Linked DNA regions of Oryctolagus cuniculus. The protein of the gene in region 3 interacts with the protein of the main gene of each other region in a biochemical or structural test. Links are inferred from orthologs where the notes say so. Each region holds a gene or a part of one and is shown on either strand. Other genes may lie near its edges.

Region 1 (4,246 bases), about 2.5 Mb from region 3:
AAAAGTTCTTTGGAAATCTCAGTAATTTTTAAGAGTATAAAGAGATCCCTGGATCAAAATGTTTGAGTATCACTTATGTTTATACCCACTATACTATAGATGGTTTATATGCAAGTTCAAATACTCAGATAGAATTAGGAAATAGGTAGACACGTTATAAGAACAAGCACATAGTGTATTTCCCATACACAGGAAAAAGAAACAAGTGTGTCTTTTTAAGAAGTAGTCTTCAATAACAAGCACCATCCCACCAAACTGCTCAGGTTTGCTGTTGCCACCTGAACTTGACTCTCTGCACGCTACTTTCTATAAGTGTTTCTTTACATTTAACATGACATATGACTGAAGTTACTTTTCAAAAGTTTTGAGTGATCACTGTAGCTGTCATTAGATTATCCATAACTGATAATTTTCCAGAAAAAGACTTCCACTAAAAAGTGTTGATGACATGGAAGGAGAGAGTGTGAGGGTGAGTGTGTGTGAGTGTGTGTGTGAGAAAGAGAGGGAGAGCGAGGGCGCACCTCTGCCACAACCTGATCTCCTTCCACAGACCCATCTCACACAGCAGTCCCACACCATCTAGCTTTCCATTATTCAAGTGCCTCATTTATCACAGGATGGGGAACAAATGTTCTGGTCTTAATATGCAATAACAAATGCATCCAAAAATGACCTGGAGAGTTCACCAAGCCCGTAAAGATACTGGTCATGATCTTACAATTCCCCGGTTGCTCTCAAACAGAGCTCCATGAGTTGTGAAGCTAAATGACATCTGTTAAACGCTGCAGCAGAAGTGATCACAGTAATAGGGAATCGGATCAGTTAAATTCTCCTTAACTCTTACCAGACAAACCGGGGATCGGCAATGATTCCAAGCTTACAACTTTGAATGAGGTCAATAATCTTAAGAAACCCAGTGAGCCTACTTAAAACTTCTGTTAATAAAAAAATATGTATCAACACTCAGTACTTCAATTTTTTACTGCTCAACCTGCTTCTCATCTTCGGGAAGTTTTAGAGTGTAATGCTTTTCTGTTATAAACCCACTGATGATAAAAACTCTAACCGCCCGTCTGGACAGCATCATGAAGCTGCACTGTTATCAGGAACCCACTGAAGACAAAGACTCTCACCATGAAGGCAGCACTCTCCTTCCCATCTGCGTGCCATCCAGTGACAGCAACAAGGCAACCTGACTGCCTCCCTGGCACATGCTGCGTCGTGAGCTGCCCTCAGAGCCCTCAGATCACAAAGGAAAACCCCCAGAGAAAGCCCAGAACACAGAAATGCGCATGGCAGGTCAGAAGGCCTGAGGAGTCAGAGAGCCCGGGACACCAGGTCCAGAGGAAAGACACTCACAATTTCGCATAAAAGTCACAGAACTCCTTGTAGACTTTTATGTCACTGTGCCTGCGCTGCAGTTTGGACACGGCCCTCTCATCTTCACTCCCATTAGCCTGGTGGACGCTGTTCAGGACTGTCTGGGACAGCTCTTCATTCTCTGGGATAGCGCAGGGGCGCACTTGGCCTGGGAAAGCCATTGTGGATGTAGCCGAGAGCTCCCCGCACAGGGACTGGTGCGACAGGACGCGGCAGGGGAAACAATATCCAGGCCTCCCCGCCTCCCTGCCAGCGTCACACCCCCGTTCCCACGCATGTCAGCCCAGCTGCCAGCGTTGCAGCTGACACTCCACAGAAGGGCTCAGCAGCACAGCACTTGGTCGGCACACCAGCCTGCATTTTGTGAGGCCTTCCGGAAGTTCTAGGAGCACAGTGGTGTTCAGAGCAGCCTTGCTGGTGAACTGCAACCATAAAGAATACCACAGGAAGAGAGGACTTAACACCCACAGTGCCCTGGGCAGGCATCTGGCTTCACCCCCACCAACCAGCACCGTGCTCTCAGCTTTGGTGGGCATACGAATCTTTGGCTAGCTTGTCAAACACCCCCGACGAGCCCTTCGAGAGGCTGGCGTTGCCAGACACTGGGAGCCTCCCTGCCTGGGGCACCCTGGATCTCAGGGCATGATGGCCAGCTATGCCATGGCTGCCTTCCCCCAGGACTCCAGGAGCCTGCTGCGAACAGCTGTGTTTGACTTCTATCACCTTCGCCCTTGGCACACAGCAAGAGTTCAACATTCAGTGAATGCATGCAGGCAGAAATAGGGAAGTGCTAGAATTTAATCGTAACTCTTTTTCCAATCTCACCCCAGCTAACCCCATAACTCAGGGCTAGTGTTTCGTGATCTTTGTCACGACTGAAGAAGACATTCCATGCTTTGCCATTCTTGCTGTATTTAGTCCATACTACCAGGTTCTCTTGGATTCTTATCAGTAATGACAGTGACCATGATGAGGTCCCAGGGCCCACAGAACCTCTCTCAGGGCTCAGTCCTTGCAGCACAGGGTGCCATCCAACAATTACAGAGGCCAAGGGCAACTTGATATATGTTGATTTTTTAGCAAGGTTCCTCGCTCATGGCATAGCTCCTGCCGAGGGCAGGCCCTGTAACACGTGGAGGCACAATGAGGGTGGAAGCTCTATGCCCTTCCCCAAGTCTCTTCCACCTAGCTGCTTCTGGCCCTTCAGGGGATACCACAGGAAGGGGAAGCTACTGCTTTTTTCTGGTTGCCTCTATTTGCAGCTGGGAATATGTTAATGAGGGTACGTGGCATACAGTACCCTAAATAGAACTTGTAAACTTTTAAAAAAATTATTTATTTATTTATTTGAAAGGCAGAGTTAGAAAGAGAGGGAGGAAGAGACAGAGAGAGGGATATTCCACCTGCTGGTTCACTCTCCAAATGGCTGCAATAGCCAGGGCTTGGCCAGGCAGAAGCCAGGAGCCAGGAGCCAGGAGCTTCTTCTGGGTCTCCCACGTGAGTGCAGGATCCAAGGACTTAGGCCATCCTCCACTGCCTTCCCAACCACATTAGTGGGGAGCTGGATGTGAAATGGAGCAGCCAGGACTGGAACTAGCGCCCATAGGGGGTAATAGTGTGGCAGGTGGCAGCCTTAGCCACTACACCACAGAGCTGGCCCAAAAACTCCAAAACATTAGGCACCTCAATACGAGCTGGTTTTATGATCAAAGGTATCATATATTATGAAAATATCTTTAAAATATTTAATCAATCAGTTTAAGAGTATTGAAGACATATTTGCACTGTTTCCAAATGCCAGAACTAATTCTTTCCTCTTTTCTTTCTGCCAGACAGAAAAGGGAGCTGAGGTTCTGAAGGAAGAAAAGATGGCCATGAAAGACTTAGAGATCTCCTGTCACACATCCACTTCCCATCAGCCTCTCCTTAGGAACAAAAGCCCCAATCAGTTATTCTCAGCATAAATACTGAAGCAGAAACATTTCTCTGCAACTCACACATGCTAGGAGGGCTGATAGTAAGTCTTTCTCTGCCTTTCAAATAAAGTGAAAATACGTAAATAAGAGTTTTTAAATTAATTGCTAATATTATCCCATTGTTTATTTTTTAAAAAAGATTTAATTAGAGATCTTTCACCCGCTGGTTCACTCCCCAAATGGCCACAATGGCCAAGGCTGGTCCAGGATGAAGCCAGGTGCTGGGAACTCCATCTGGGTCTCCCATGTAGGTGGCAGGGGCCCAAGTACTTGAGCCATCATCTGCTGCTTTCCTAGGAACATTAGCAGGGAGCTGGATTGGAAGTGGAGCAGCTGGGACTCGAACCAGCGCTCTGACATGCGATGCTTACAGAGCAAACAGTGGACCAATCTGCTATATCACAAAACTGGCCCATTTACTTTTTTTTTTTACCCCCGAAAACCTTTTATCTAAGGTATACAAACTCCATTGACTTTTAAAAAAATATTTATTTTAAAGGCAGAGTCACAGAGGAGAGAAGCAGAGAGAGAGATCCCTTCCCTTCCATCCACTGGTCTCTCCAAATGGCTATAACAGCCAGGTTTTTGCCAAGCTGAAGCCAAGAGCCAGGAATTCCACTCTGGTCTTCCATAGGGGTGGCAGGGCCCCAAGCTCTTAGACCATCTGCCACTGTCTTCCCAGGAGAACTAGCAGGAAGCTGGATCACAAGCCAAACAGCTGGGACTTGAACTAGTACTATAATATGGGATGCTGGCATCGCAAGTGGCAGTTTGACCTACTGAGCTACAATGATGGCCCCGTATACTTTATTTATTTATTTTAATTTAAGAAGGTGAGGGAGGGAGGGATGGAGGGAGGGAGAAACACTCTCATCTTCCTATCTGCTGGT
Region 2 (4,298 bases), on a different chromosome or scaffold from region 3:
TGGCTTTGCCCGCTATGCCACAGTGTTGGCCTCTCCATCACTTTCTTTTAAAAAAAAATATGTATTTATTTATTTGAGAGAGAGAGGTTTATTTTTCATCTGTTGGTTCACTCCCCAAATGCCCACAACAGCCAGGGTTGAGCCAGTCCAAAGCCAGGAGACTGGAACTCCATTCAGGTTTCCTGTGTGGGTGATAGGAACCCAAGCACTTGAGCCATCATCAGCTGCTTCCCAGGCACGTTAGCAGGAAGCTGAATCGGAAGCATGGTGCAGCCAGGACTCTGATGTGGGAGTCCTGCCATCTCTCTCCAACTCTTTTTTAAAGAGAGTCTCTCAAATTTTATAAACCCCAGACCCCACAAAACCTACATCTCTCCCACTATGAGTAAATCTGGAAGTGTGTACTGAGCAATCTTCATGTGCCAAGTGCCGTCTGAGTGGCTGATATGTGATGGAGCCGCGACTTGAACACAGGGCTCCCTGATTCCAGAGCCCGCTGTTCCCAGCCTGCCTCTCTCAGTGCTCAGCCCACGACGCAGGTTAGGAAACGTCCGTCTGCTTCTCTCTCCAGACCCCAGAGCAGCGTCTCACTCCTCTTGACCCGTACTGATGTGCTCTTGGGCTCCGGGGTGGAGTGGGGGGGCATTCAGAATTGCCAGATTTAGCAAATAATAATAAGGGTGCCCCGTAAATCTGAATCTCAGATAAATAATGAGCAATTTGTTAGGATACAATGTCCCATGTCGTATTTTGTCTTTCAGCAAAAATCGGTCTTCTTTCCAGGCGCACTGCCACCACGGAGGTTTAAGAGTAGGGGCCGGAATTCAGGCGGGATGGATGCAGGGTGGAGGGGTGGCGCTCAGCAGGCGGGAAAAGGCGAGGAACAAACCTGGGAGGGATTGGGTTCTGCGCGTAGCCTTACGGAAAACAAGAACGCTCGGCCAGGGACTGAAGCCCTGCTGCCTCCGATTTCACTGTCCCCTCCCAAATGTGTAGGTCTTGCTTCTCAGCCCGGACCAGATCCCTACAACAGCCGAGGAGCTGTCCAAAGGGCTCCTGGAGGCCGCACCTGGACCCCAGCTCATCCCCGCTCCCAGGCCGGCAGGTTTACTTGAGTGCGCCGGCGGGCAAGCCATTATTCGATACCACAACAAACAGGCGCGGGACGCGGTAGGATGCAAACTCCCCGGGAATGTTGCAGATCTAACCCGAGGCTTCGGAGAGACCGGAGGGTGGCAGCCTGGAGAATTCGCCCGCACTCCGGGGCAGGCGGCGGGATCCCTCTGCCCGGCTCTGCGTGAGGACTGCTGCGGGCAACCCCGGCGTCCGGGCGCTGGCACGGACGCACCCAGGCCTGCGCCGGGAGAGGGAGAAAGCGAAGCTGGAGTTGCCACTCCCAGACTTGCTGGAATGCAGCGGCGGGGGTGGGGGGGCGAGCCGTGAGCGCGCCTGCTCCCAATCACGGGAGGAGGAGGAGGAGGAGGAGGAGGAGGAGGAGGAGGAGGAGGTGGAGGAGGAGGAGGTGGTGGAGGAGTAGGATTGCTTGAGGAAGTACGAGAATGAAGTTGTGGAGCTGAGATTCCCCTCCAGCGCGAGCCGAGAGACTAGGAGTGCCCGCCGGCAGCCGCGCGCCCGGCCCCCACCCCCTCGCCGAGCCCCGCGCACTCCCAGCCTGGTCCAGCCGGAGCCATGGGGCCGGAGCCGCAGTGAGCACCATGGAGCTGGCGGCCTGGTACCGCTGGGGGCTCCTCCTCGCCCTTTTGCCCCCCGGAACCGCGGGCACCCAAGGTGGGTCTGGCGTGGGGAGGGGATGGGGTAGTGAAGGGCCCCCCCCGCAGCCTGGGTCTCCGGTCCGAAGTCCCAGGCTGGCGGGGGCCGAGGAGCCCGACGAGCCCTCCTCGCCGAAGTTTCGTTAAGTTCGGGCTTTCCCGGCGCGGGGCGCTCGGGCCGGGAGGGGGCGAGAGAAGGTGGAGGCGGGGTTGGGGGCGACCCCCACCGAAGCGGCTCGAGATCGCCCCTTTCTAGGGCCCGGGCGCTTGCCGGACTCCCAGCGGGCTCCGGGGACTTGTCAGAAAAGTTCTCCGAGATTGCGCCCAAAGTTTTCGCCGAGGTGGATTGCGGGGTGGGTGTGGGAGTGTGCGTGCGCGCGCGCGCGCGCGAGCGTGTTTCCCCGCGCCGAGCCCCCGCCAGCCTTCTCAAAGCCTTTCCAGTTGGCAGCCTCCGCCTCCGGACTGGACTGGGCTGGATTCCTTGGGGGGGGGTCCTCTCTGCCCTGCCCCTCCCCCCTCCCCGCCCCCTCCAGCCGCCCGCGTTTGAGTACCGGCTTCAGGCGGGGCCGGGGGTGAAGGGGGAGGTGGGCAGAGCAACCTGCCCCGCGGGCCGGGGAGAGTGGCCTGGCGAGCTGCACGCGTCCCTGGCGCTGGGGTCTGGGCGAGGGGGAGGGGCCCTGGTTTGTTTTGAGCCAGTTCCTACAGGGCCTGCGGGCTTTGTGACTTGTGGAGAGCCTGGACCAGAGAGGGGTGAGGGTGGGTTTCCTGGTTTGGAGAGTTCCACGGGCGGCATATCGGGGCAGCTGTGGCCAGACGGGGGTATCCCAGGGGCCGGGTGCTTCTGCTGTCTTTTTGCTTCCTGCTGTGAGGGGACGGGGAGGGTGAGTGGAGAGGTGTGTATCCCGACCCTGCTGTCCGCCTGCACGAAGTCAGGATAAAAGCTAACACACACTCTGTGCCCAGTACACTCTGCTGGGCCCGTGGGTGGTGTTTTGCATGCATTCCCTCCTTTCGTCTTCCTAACAGAAGGCCACGTTGCAGGTGAAAAACGGGGCCCAAAGAGGGAGGCGGCTGCTGGCTTGTGGTGGGGCTCACAGCCGGCCCAGGGCAGCACAAGCCTTAGCCGCACATTGAAAATGATGATTGGGGTCCACCTGAGCCGGTGGGGGGCACTGCCCCTTGCATCCCTGGGTGAGGGTGCTGTGGGAGCAGGGTGAGGTGGCCCCTGGCACTCAGGGAGTCTGGGGAGCTGTGGGTGGCAGTGCATCCGTGGTGCTCTCCCGGGTCCTCGCCAGGGCCTTGCCGCATTGTCTGCGAGCTGTCAGTGTGTGTCTGGGGCTGTGCCAGGTGGTCCTGAATTATGGTCTGTGTTTGTGTGTCTGGGCCTTGTGTTGCCAAACATCAGTCTCCCTGATGACTTGGGGACGCAGGCTGAACTCTGCCCTCTCCAGGAACGCCCTCAAGGTGCTGGGCCAGATCTGTTGTAAATAGCAGGAGGTGGCCCCATGCCTGCTGGGTGGCTGCAGAGGGAGGTCCCTGTCCTCCCTCCCTCCTTCCCTGGGCGTGCAACTTCACCTCTGCCCATGGCGAGGGGCCGCCCTCCTCTCCTTGCCTGGGAGCAGAGCAGGCGGTGGCGGCTGCGTTGCTGGGGTAGACTCCTCTTGACCGGGGCCTCCTCAGGTCCTCACGCTGAGTTACAGAGAGACACTGAGTGTGTTGCATGGGGAATGGTTACAGAGGCAGGCACATCCCACCCAGCAGCCAGGTTCTACCCCAGGGCTGTGGGCTGGGGCAGGGATGTTGGAAGGGGAGGCCCAGGGGCAAGGGCCAGGGGGCCAGGATTTTGCTGAGATCTTTTTCAGCGGTCAAGATTTGTAAATTGCACCAAACGCATCCTTTTCACTGTTCATTCATATTTTAATTCCAGTGTGATCTTCCCAAGAACCTCCTTCCCTCTTTCTACTAAAAGTGTTCATTTTCATGTCCAAGAAAAAAAAAAAACAATAGCAAAGAAAGGCTCAAATGTAAAAAGAAAAATATATTGACTTTCAAGGTCAAATACAATGCGCATTTTCTCCTGAACTGGGATCACCTGTACTCCTGCTGGATGAAACCCTTGCCTCAAGTTTTTAAGAAGTTGCAGTGCGCTTCCTGTAGGCAGGTGCTCAAGTGCAGATGGCTCCGTTCCGTCTCTAACAATCCTGAGACAGGGGCACAGGTGGAAAACTGAAGTTCAGAGAACCCACGGACTTGGCCAAGGCTCCTTAGCCAATGAAGAGGCCTTAAGAGTTGGTCAAAGTCCACACAACAGGAATGGCTTGACCCAAACCTTAGCCTAAAGGGATAGGGATGCTGTTCTGTTTTGGGGTGGACCTCCGAACCTGGCTAGGGGAAATGGGGCTGAGCTGGGGGGCCTGAGGTCCCCTCCCGGCTGTGGAGTCCTCTCCCTTCCTGTCCAGCCCATGCCTGCCTTTCTCCTGGGCCCTCTCAGCATCATAGGGGACTTAGGGCAGGAGGGTGTGGAGGCCA
Region 3 (2,242 bases):
TGAAATTCCTTCCAAAACTCTGGGTTTGCATCCCCTTGTGCATGACGTCATGCCTAACCGTCTTGGTCCCTACAATGGGGATCACGGTGGTGGTAAGCACGGGGTGGGGAGGACGCGCCATGTGCATCAGTCCTGGTCCACTAAGAGGGCACTGATCCGCGTGCCGTGAGTTGCACTCCCACGGCCTGGCATGCGGCCGCCATCCACTAAACACGGACAGATGGAGAGAGCCAGAGCGCAACATCCGAGGAGGGCCACCGGGAATGCAAAGACTCTGGCTGGCGACCGTCGAGAAAACATTCTGAAGCCAGCAATTCTCAAAGAGCGAAGTTAAGAGCAAGCTTGTTGGAGTTTCCCTCGTTAGCAGGGGTTATTTCAATATTCAAAAACGCGGTGGCAAGAAAGTCACAGGGAGTGCACTCCTGACCCTGCCCTTGAGCCTGGTTCTTCCTTTCAAGCTGGGAGAAGTCACCCAACACAGCGGTCACCCCTCCCCCACAGCAGTTAGCGTCTCCCCAAAGACAAACGCACACAGGATCGTGTCATAATACTTTTTTTTTTATTACAATATTCAAAAAAACTGGGTATGCAAGTTTAGGGGATCGCAAGACCCCTTCTTCCATCATAGGAATGTGCCATCTCAAGACTGTATATTTAAACTATAAAGAAGTTCAAATGTAAAGAAAAAAAGGGAACACGATTTCTTCATAAACATCTTGTGTCTCTGACTACCAATCACATTTTCTTTTGTAAACCCTGAAAAATTTCCCTGTAAAGCAAATAAAATATTTAAGTATATACACACACATACACAGACATGCACACGCATGTGTACAGCGTGCATGTGTGTGCGTGGGTGTGTGTATGCTTGTGTGTGGAGTGTTGGTAGCTCCGCTTCCCCCACAGATCAGCTGTTTTCCTGAATCATCCCGCATTAGTGTCAACAACCAGCTACAGATACGTAGGACTTGGAGAACTGAATACATCACCGTGAAGTTCAAAGGAGCTGCAGGCAAGAGCAAACAGCGCTACGTGGATGGCACACTTCAGGGGTCAACGACCAAAACGCGTGTCTTATCTTGAGTCACCGGGTCCCTCCGTTGCAGAATGCCTCTCGAGGAAAATTCTTTATTGCAAGCACGGCCCCAAGGCACTGGACAGCTCCCTCGTGGCCTGCGCAGCCTGGGGGCCCTGGCTGCGTGCACGGTGGCCCTCCAGCCGTGCCCAGGGTCTCCACGTGAGCAGAGGGTTGCCGCCACTAGTTGGAGAGAAATAAAGTGAAGACACTCGGCCCTTCCGCCTCCTTCTAAGACCAGCCAGGAGGGATGGTCGCACCCGGCGGTGGCGCCCGGAGCTGGTGGGCGCAGCGCGGCGCGGCCCCGACCCGAGGGCCCACGGCACAGGTCACTGCAGCGCCCGGACGAGGTAGAGCTTCTCCCCGTGCTCGCTGGTGAAGATGGGGGCCTTTTTGTAGTGTTCCACCAGCTCGTCCATGGTGTGGAATCGCCGCTGCCCAATGCAGTACACATTGTCCACGAGCTGCACCTTGAAGTGTTTGTTCTTCCCTGACGCTTTGAGAGACACGGAGAAGTCGCTGGGCTGCGGGAGCAAACGGCACAGATTACACCAGGGCCCGAGAGGGCGCGGGCTGCACGCTCTGGGGTACTCCACCCCTCTCCCCACGGGCCACACCCCCGGGCCACAGGGTTCCCAGAGGCGCAGGTGTCTACCACGGCACCTGCCGCTCCGCCCGACGACCCCTGCTCAAGGACTTCATTTGGCTGAGTATTCAGTGCTGAACACACCTCCTTCTTTGACACGTGGGACCCGAATGCTAGGAAACACTTTTCACTTCCCGAGCTGTTTTTGAGAAACTGGAATCTAAGACAAGTGGTTTCCATGCAGGCAGAGGCTAGAAATTTCCCTTCTTCTGACTTCTAATACTATTAGAAATTAAACCTTTTTTTTTTTTTTTAAAGTCTAAGCCATTTAAAAATAAACGCCTAGGGCAGGTGTCTGGCCTAGTGGCTAAGATGCTGGTAAGATGCTTGGCGTGTACAAAGGGAGGAGGGCCTTGCCTCATTTTCAGCAGTGAAGGGAAGGGGGAGGGGTCCTGGCCTCCCTGGGTGACCTCAGCCCCTCGGAGCTCCCCCCGCAGCTGCGTCACCTGGCCCCTGCCTATTGTCCCAATCAATGAGCCTAAAGCATAACCTCCCCCACACAGTGCCCATTCTAGTCCTGG
Region 4 (4,056 bases), on a different chromosome or scaffold from region 3:
GACCCCTGTGGGGAAGGCGGGTGGGAGGAATGGAAGTGCCCCAGGGCAGGGGAGAAGGAGGGCAGGGGTGCCATCTGTGCTGGCGGGCGTGTCTCCTCTGGCATGCGTCTCCCGAAGTCAGGTTCTGCCAGCTCTGCCCCTGCCCTGTGGGCCCAGGAAGTGCAGCTCACTTCTCCGGGCCTCTGTTTCCTTGCCTGTGAAATGGGGACAAATCCTCTTCTTGTCCTCTAGGGGCTTTGAGCACCCAAAACATGTATCTTGAGATCTGAAGCGGTGTGCTGGGTGTCCTTGGGCAGATTGTATTTCCTCCCTGGCCGGTTCGCATCGAGCCTTGCATTTGCCCTCTGAGCATCTTGGGGTGTCCTTCCCTCCCTTCTGGGTCCCATCCTTGAGAGGCGCTCCCTGGTTCCCTCAAGCTTAGGTCACATGTCCCTCTCGGGGGTGGGGAGCCTTTTTTTCTGCCAAGGGTCATTTAGGTATTTATAGTATGATTCCCAGGCCATACAAAATGATCAGCTTAAAAATGAGCCTGCTATGGATTTATTGAATTTTAGGCCCTGCCTGTGGCTGCCTTGGTAGGGCCAGGCAGCCTGATTCCGTGCCTTGCCTGACATGGCCTTCAGGCTGGACGACCCCCACCCCTGAGTCCACTCTCCCCGCCTCTCCTCCTGCTCAGCCAGGGCCCCCGATCAGAGGCGGCTGCTATGCCACTGTCCCCAGCCCTGAGTACCCCAGCTGGCACACAGCAGTTGCTTAATATGCCTGCAGAAGAACTGACTGATGGCCCAACCGGCCCTATAGATGACCAGAGCTTTCTTGACAGCTGGGGAAACTGAGGCACAGGGTGATTTCTCCCTCTCCCCCAGGTGCCATGGCAAGAGGAGACTGCCACCAGCCACCAGATACAGGCGGCAGGCGAGTGAGGCCCGGCCACTCTTTAATAAAAGTGACTCAGCGGCTGGCGTGGGCTGCGGAATTTCTAAACATCCCCTCACATCCTGAGAGAGCAGGCGACGGGAGGGAGAAAGCAGAGGGAAAGGAGGAAGAAAAACAAGAAACGGGGAAAAGAAAGAGAGAGGGAAAAAACCTGAAATTGAAAACAGACGCACGCGCCCACCCTCCCGCCCGCCCGCACCCCCCTTCCCCCGGCTGGGCCAATCAGAAGCCGCCCTGCAGCCTTTCCCCCAGAGTGGGGGGGCAGGGAAGCCCACAGTGGTGCGAGCTCCTGGGGCCGCCTGGGCCGGCAGTCCCCGCCCGCCCTCTCTGGGACCCGGGACAGTTCTGCGAGCCAGAGAGGAGATCAACAGGGAGGAGACGGCTGAGCCCCTGAGCCCTGCCTGGCCGGTGCCCTGCCCGCTCAGCCAGCCAGACCCAGGGCGGCCCCTCCTGGCGGCCCTGCTCCTCCCCAAGGATGCTTGGGGCGTGAGGCGAAACTGGGCCGCTCCTCCCCTGCAGCCCCCGGACCCTCCGTTCTCCTGAGTCTCCAGGAGTCTGCCACGGCCCTTCTTGCCTTTCTACCCCTGCTGCTGCCCCTTGTGGGTCCAGCGAAGTCTTTGTGATAACGGGGAGAGGGCAAGAAGGAGGACTTCCTGGAGGGGGTGACAGTCCAGAGCCCGGGACAGTACTCACACCAGAACACTCAGCAGCAAGGTAAGAACTGGGAGAGGTGGGAACCCCAGTCCCAGTGCCCTGTCCCCTTACCCCAGCCTGTGCCTCTTTGGGTAGGTAAAAAAAAAAATAAAAAATGCGAAATATTTTTAACAAAACCAGATGGGAAGAGGCTGGGCGGCTCTGGGTGATGTCAGGACTGGAGGAGCCAGTTCTCTCCATTCTCCTGCTCTGGGATGGGTGGCCTCTGCCATTGCCCCCTACCCCCATGAGCCCTGCTGCCTCCTGCCCTCATCAAACACCCCCAGAAGTTTCTGGGGGCCATGTGGGGGCCATGTGGGGACCACCGAGGCACAGTACGGGCTGCGGGGCTGGGGATAGCTGGCAGGAGCAGGAGTGAGGGGAACTGGGGGATGGCATGCAGGGGGCAGAGAAAGGGGGCCTCGCGGGGCACTGGGGACCTCAGGGCCACAGCCCCTGCCCCTCGGCCCAGCTCTGCTTCTAAGAATCGGCTCTGGCCCTGGGCCAGCCTGCCACTAGGCAACCTCTGGGGATTTAAATGGATTTGCAAATTTTCCAGATTCCTGAGATGTCCTTCCAAACCCCCAGCCGCTGGGAAAGTTTTGAGGGTGAGGGAGGCCCCCGTGGCCGCTGGGGCTGGGGAACTGAGGCCCGGCTGTCAGATCTGGGGGCTCCTTTGCAGGCGCAGGCGTAGGCGGCAGCTCTCAGGACCCCTCTTCGCCTCCCTCCAGCTGGACTGTGCCCCTCTCCTCTCCATCCTGGAACCGGAGGCTGCCGGTGGCTCCCCAGTGCCCGCAGGAGCCCCAGCTGCACCGATTGGCGTTTGCTGCATGCCAGGGCTGTGCTTTGTGAGCGGGCTCTGCTGCAGTGCTCACCAGAGGCACTGGGCGGCTATTTTCCCCTGCTTTCCACGGTGGGGGGTGCAGTGAGGCGAGTTGGGGGCAGGTCTTGGAGAGGTTGTAAGCGCCCCTGCCTCATTGCTGCAGACTCGGGCCTTTTGTTCCTGCCAGGCAGATCCTAGAATCCGAGAAGGAATTTGTACCAGCCTGCCTGTGGGCATTTGCCCTCGCGTCCTCTGCCTGGAATGCCCTTCCTCATCACTTTTCTTCCAGGGATCCTCCCTGCTCTGTCTCTTCCAGGCAGCCCTCCTGGCTCCTTCCAGTCTTGCAAGTGCTTGCCATGCACTTCGTGTGGCAGCCTTGCTGCTCGGCCCCCTCCTCTTGCTTGTGTGCCACTTACGCATCAGAGCCTGTCCAGGCCCCAGGCTTCCCTGTCTTGCCTTCTGTCCCCTGCGCCAGCCCTGGGCACCGAGGGATGGCTCTGCTTGCCTCTGTCGTCCCCAGAGCACACAAAGGCCTTCATCAAGCTGCTTCACAGTCATCGAGTCCTCCTGTGTCTCACCCATTCGGGGACATCCAGTCCCAGGCAGGCAGGCACACTCTGCAATCTTCTTAGCGAGGCTTTGAAATCCCTGTTGTTACTCCACTGTGCAGATGAGGAAACCAAGCCTGGGAGAGGCAGAGTGGCTTTCCCAGGGCTACGCAAGTCAGTCTGGTTGGTGCTGGGACCAGAGTCTGTCTTAAGCCAAAGGCTTAACCCTCCTGCTGCCAGAGCGCTCCTGGCCAGGGAGCAGTGGCGTGCGTGCGGAGCCTGCCCCTGGCGGGATGGAGGGAGTGCAGCTGTCTTCTGCAGGGCCCTAGCTTGGTCTGCAGAGAGGAAGGAGCCTGTGTGGCCAGCACCCTGCTCTCCTGCTCTTAGACAGAAGTTACCGGGCAGCCCTCCCTCCTCTGTGGGGAGAAGAGCTGGGACTTGTAACTGGCGCCAGATGTGAGGCAGGTGGTGGAAAGCACCGTGCATTCACAGTCAGCAGACAGAGCACTGGCCCTGGCTCATTCAAATCCGTGTGGGGCCAACCTCAGAGCTCCTGTCCCCTCCCCAGGCTGCTTCTACATCTGGGAGGCAGTGGGCACCGTGGATAAACAAAGCCAGGCTCGGGCATCAGATGACCAGTTAGTGACCAGCCCTCTGTCCCTTCAGCTTCTGGCTGTGTGACTCTGCGCCAGGGCTTTGCTTCTCTGGGCCTCAGTCTCCTCTGTGAGCAGTAGGGCAGTTTGTGGGAGCCGTGAGATGACCTAAGGCGCTGAATGAGGTCCCTGTATTTCCTGGGGGCAGCCCTGAGGCCACTGGCCGAGCGGGGTGATGGAGCCGGGGGCCTGCACCTGGGTATCTCTGATTCTAGAGCTGAGTGGGGTCGGGACAGCCCTGGGGACCCAGCATCAGCTGTGGAGGCCACGCAGCTTTCCAGAGGTGGTCAGCAGCCCATCAACCCCTGTGACCGTGGGCCAGTCCATCCCTCTCTGGGTCTTGGTTTTCCTATCCATCCACCAAGGAGGTAGGCACAAATGATTGCCGAACTCCCTAACAGCC

The links.
Region 1: the proteins of NCK2 (region 3) and LIMS1 form a complex in vitro, tested with the Homo sapiens proteins (4 studies listed by BioGRID and IntAct, with this or other methods). The link is inferred for Oryctolagus cuniculus from reciprocal best matches to the Homo sapiens genes NCK2 and LIMS1.
Region 2: the proteins of NCK2 (region 3) and ERBB2 form a complex in vitro, tested with the Homo sapiens proteins (2 studies listed by BioGRID and IntAct, with this or other methods). The link is inferred for Oryctolagus cuniculus from reciprocal best matches to the Homo sapiens genes NCK2 and ERBB2.
Region 4: the proteins of NCK2 (region 3) and PDGFRB form a complex in vitro, tested with the Homo sapiens proteins (2 studies listed by BioGRID). The link is inferred for Oryctolagus cuniculus from reciprocal best matches to the Homo sapiens genes NCK2 and PDGFRB.

The regions. Positions count from the first base shown.
Region 1 is NC_091433.1:100,159,080-100,163,325, forward strand, and holds the start of LIMS1 (LIM and senescent cell antigen-like-containing domain protein 1), read right to left. Parts: upstream 2,845-4,246; 5' UTR 1,542-2,844; coding exon 1,360-1,541; intron 1-1,359. UniProt on the Homo sapiens protein: Within the IPP (ILK-PINCH-PARVIN) complex, binds to F-actin, promoting F-actin bundling, a process required to generate force for actin cytoskeleton reorganization and subsequent dynamic cell adhesion events such as cell spreading and migration.
Region 2 is NC_091448.1:22,692,083-22,696,380, reverse strand, and holds the start of ERBB2 (receptor tyrosine-protein kinase erbB-2), read left to right. Parts: upstream 1-1,494; 5' UTR 1,495-1,715; coding exon 1,716-1,788; intron 1,789-4,298. UniProt on the Homo sapiens protein: Protein tyrosine kinase that is part of several cell surface receptor complexes, but that apparently needs a coreceptor for ligand binding. Essential component of a neuregulin-receptor complex, although neuregulins do not interact with it alone.
Region 3 is NC_091433.1:102,702,020-102,704,261, forward strand, and holds the end of NCK2 (cytoplasmic protein NCK2), read right to left. Parts: intron 1,600-2,242; coding exon 1,405-1,599; 3' UTR 538-1,404; downstream 1-537. UniProt on the Homo sapiens protein: Adapter protein which associates with tyrosine-phosphorylated growth factor receptors or their cellular substrates. Maintains low levels of EIF2S1 phosphorylation by promoting its dephosphorylation by PP1.
Region 4 is NC_091437.1:37,460,059-37,464,114, reverse strand, and holds the start of PDGFRB (platelet-derived growth factor receptor beta), read left to right. Parts: upstream 1-1,205; 5' UTR 1,206-1,650; intron 1,651-4,056. UniProt on the Homo sapiens protein: Tyrosine-protein kinase that acts as a cell-surface receptor for homodimeric PDGFB and PDGFD and for heterodimers formed by PDGFA and PDGFB, and plays an essential role in the regulation of embryonic development, cell proliferation, survival, differentiation, chemotaxis and migration.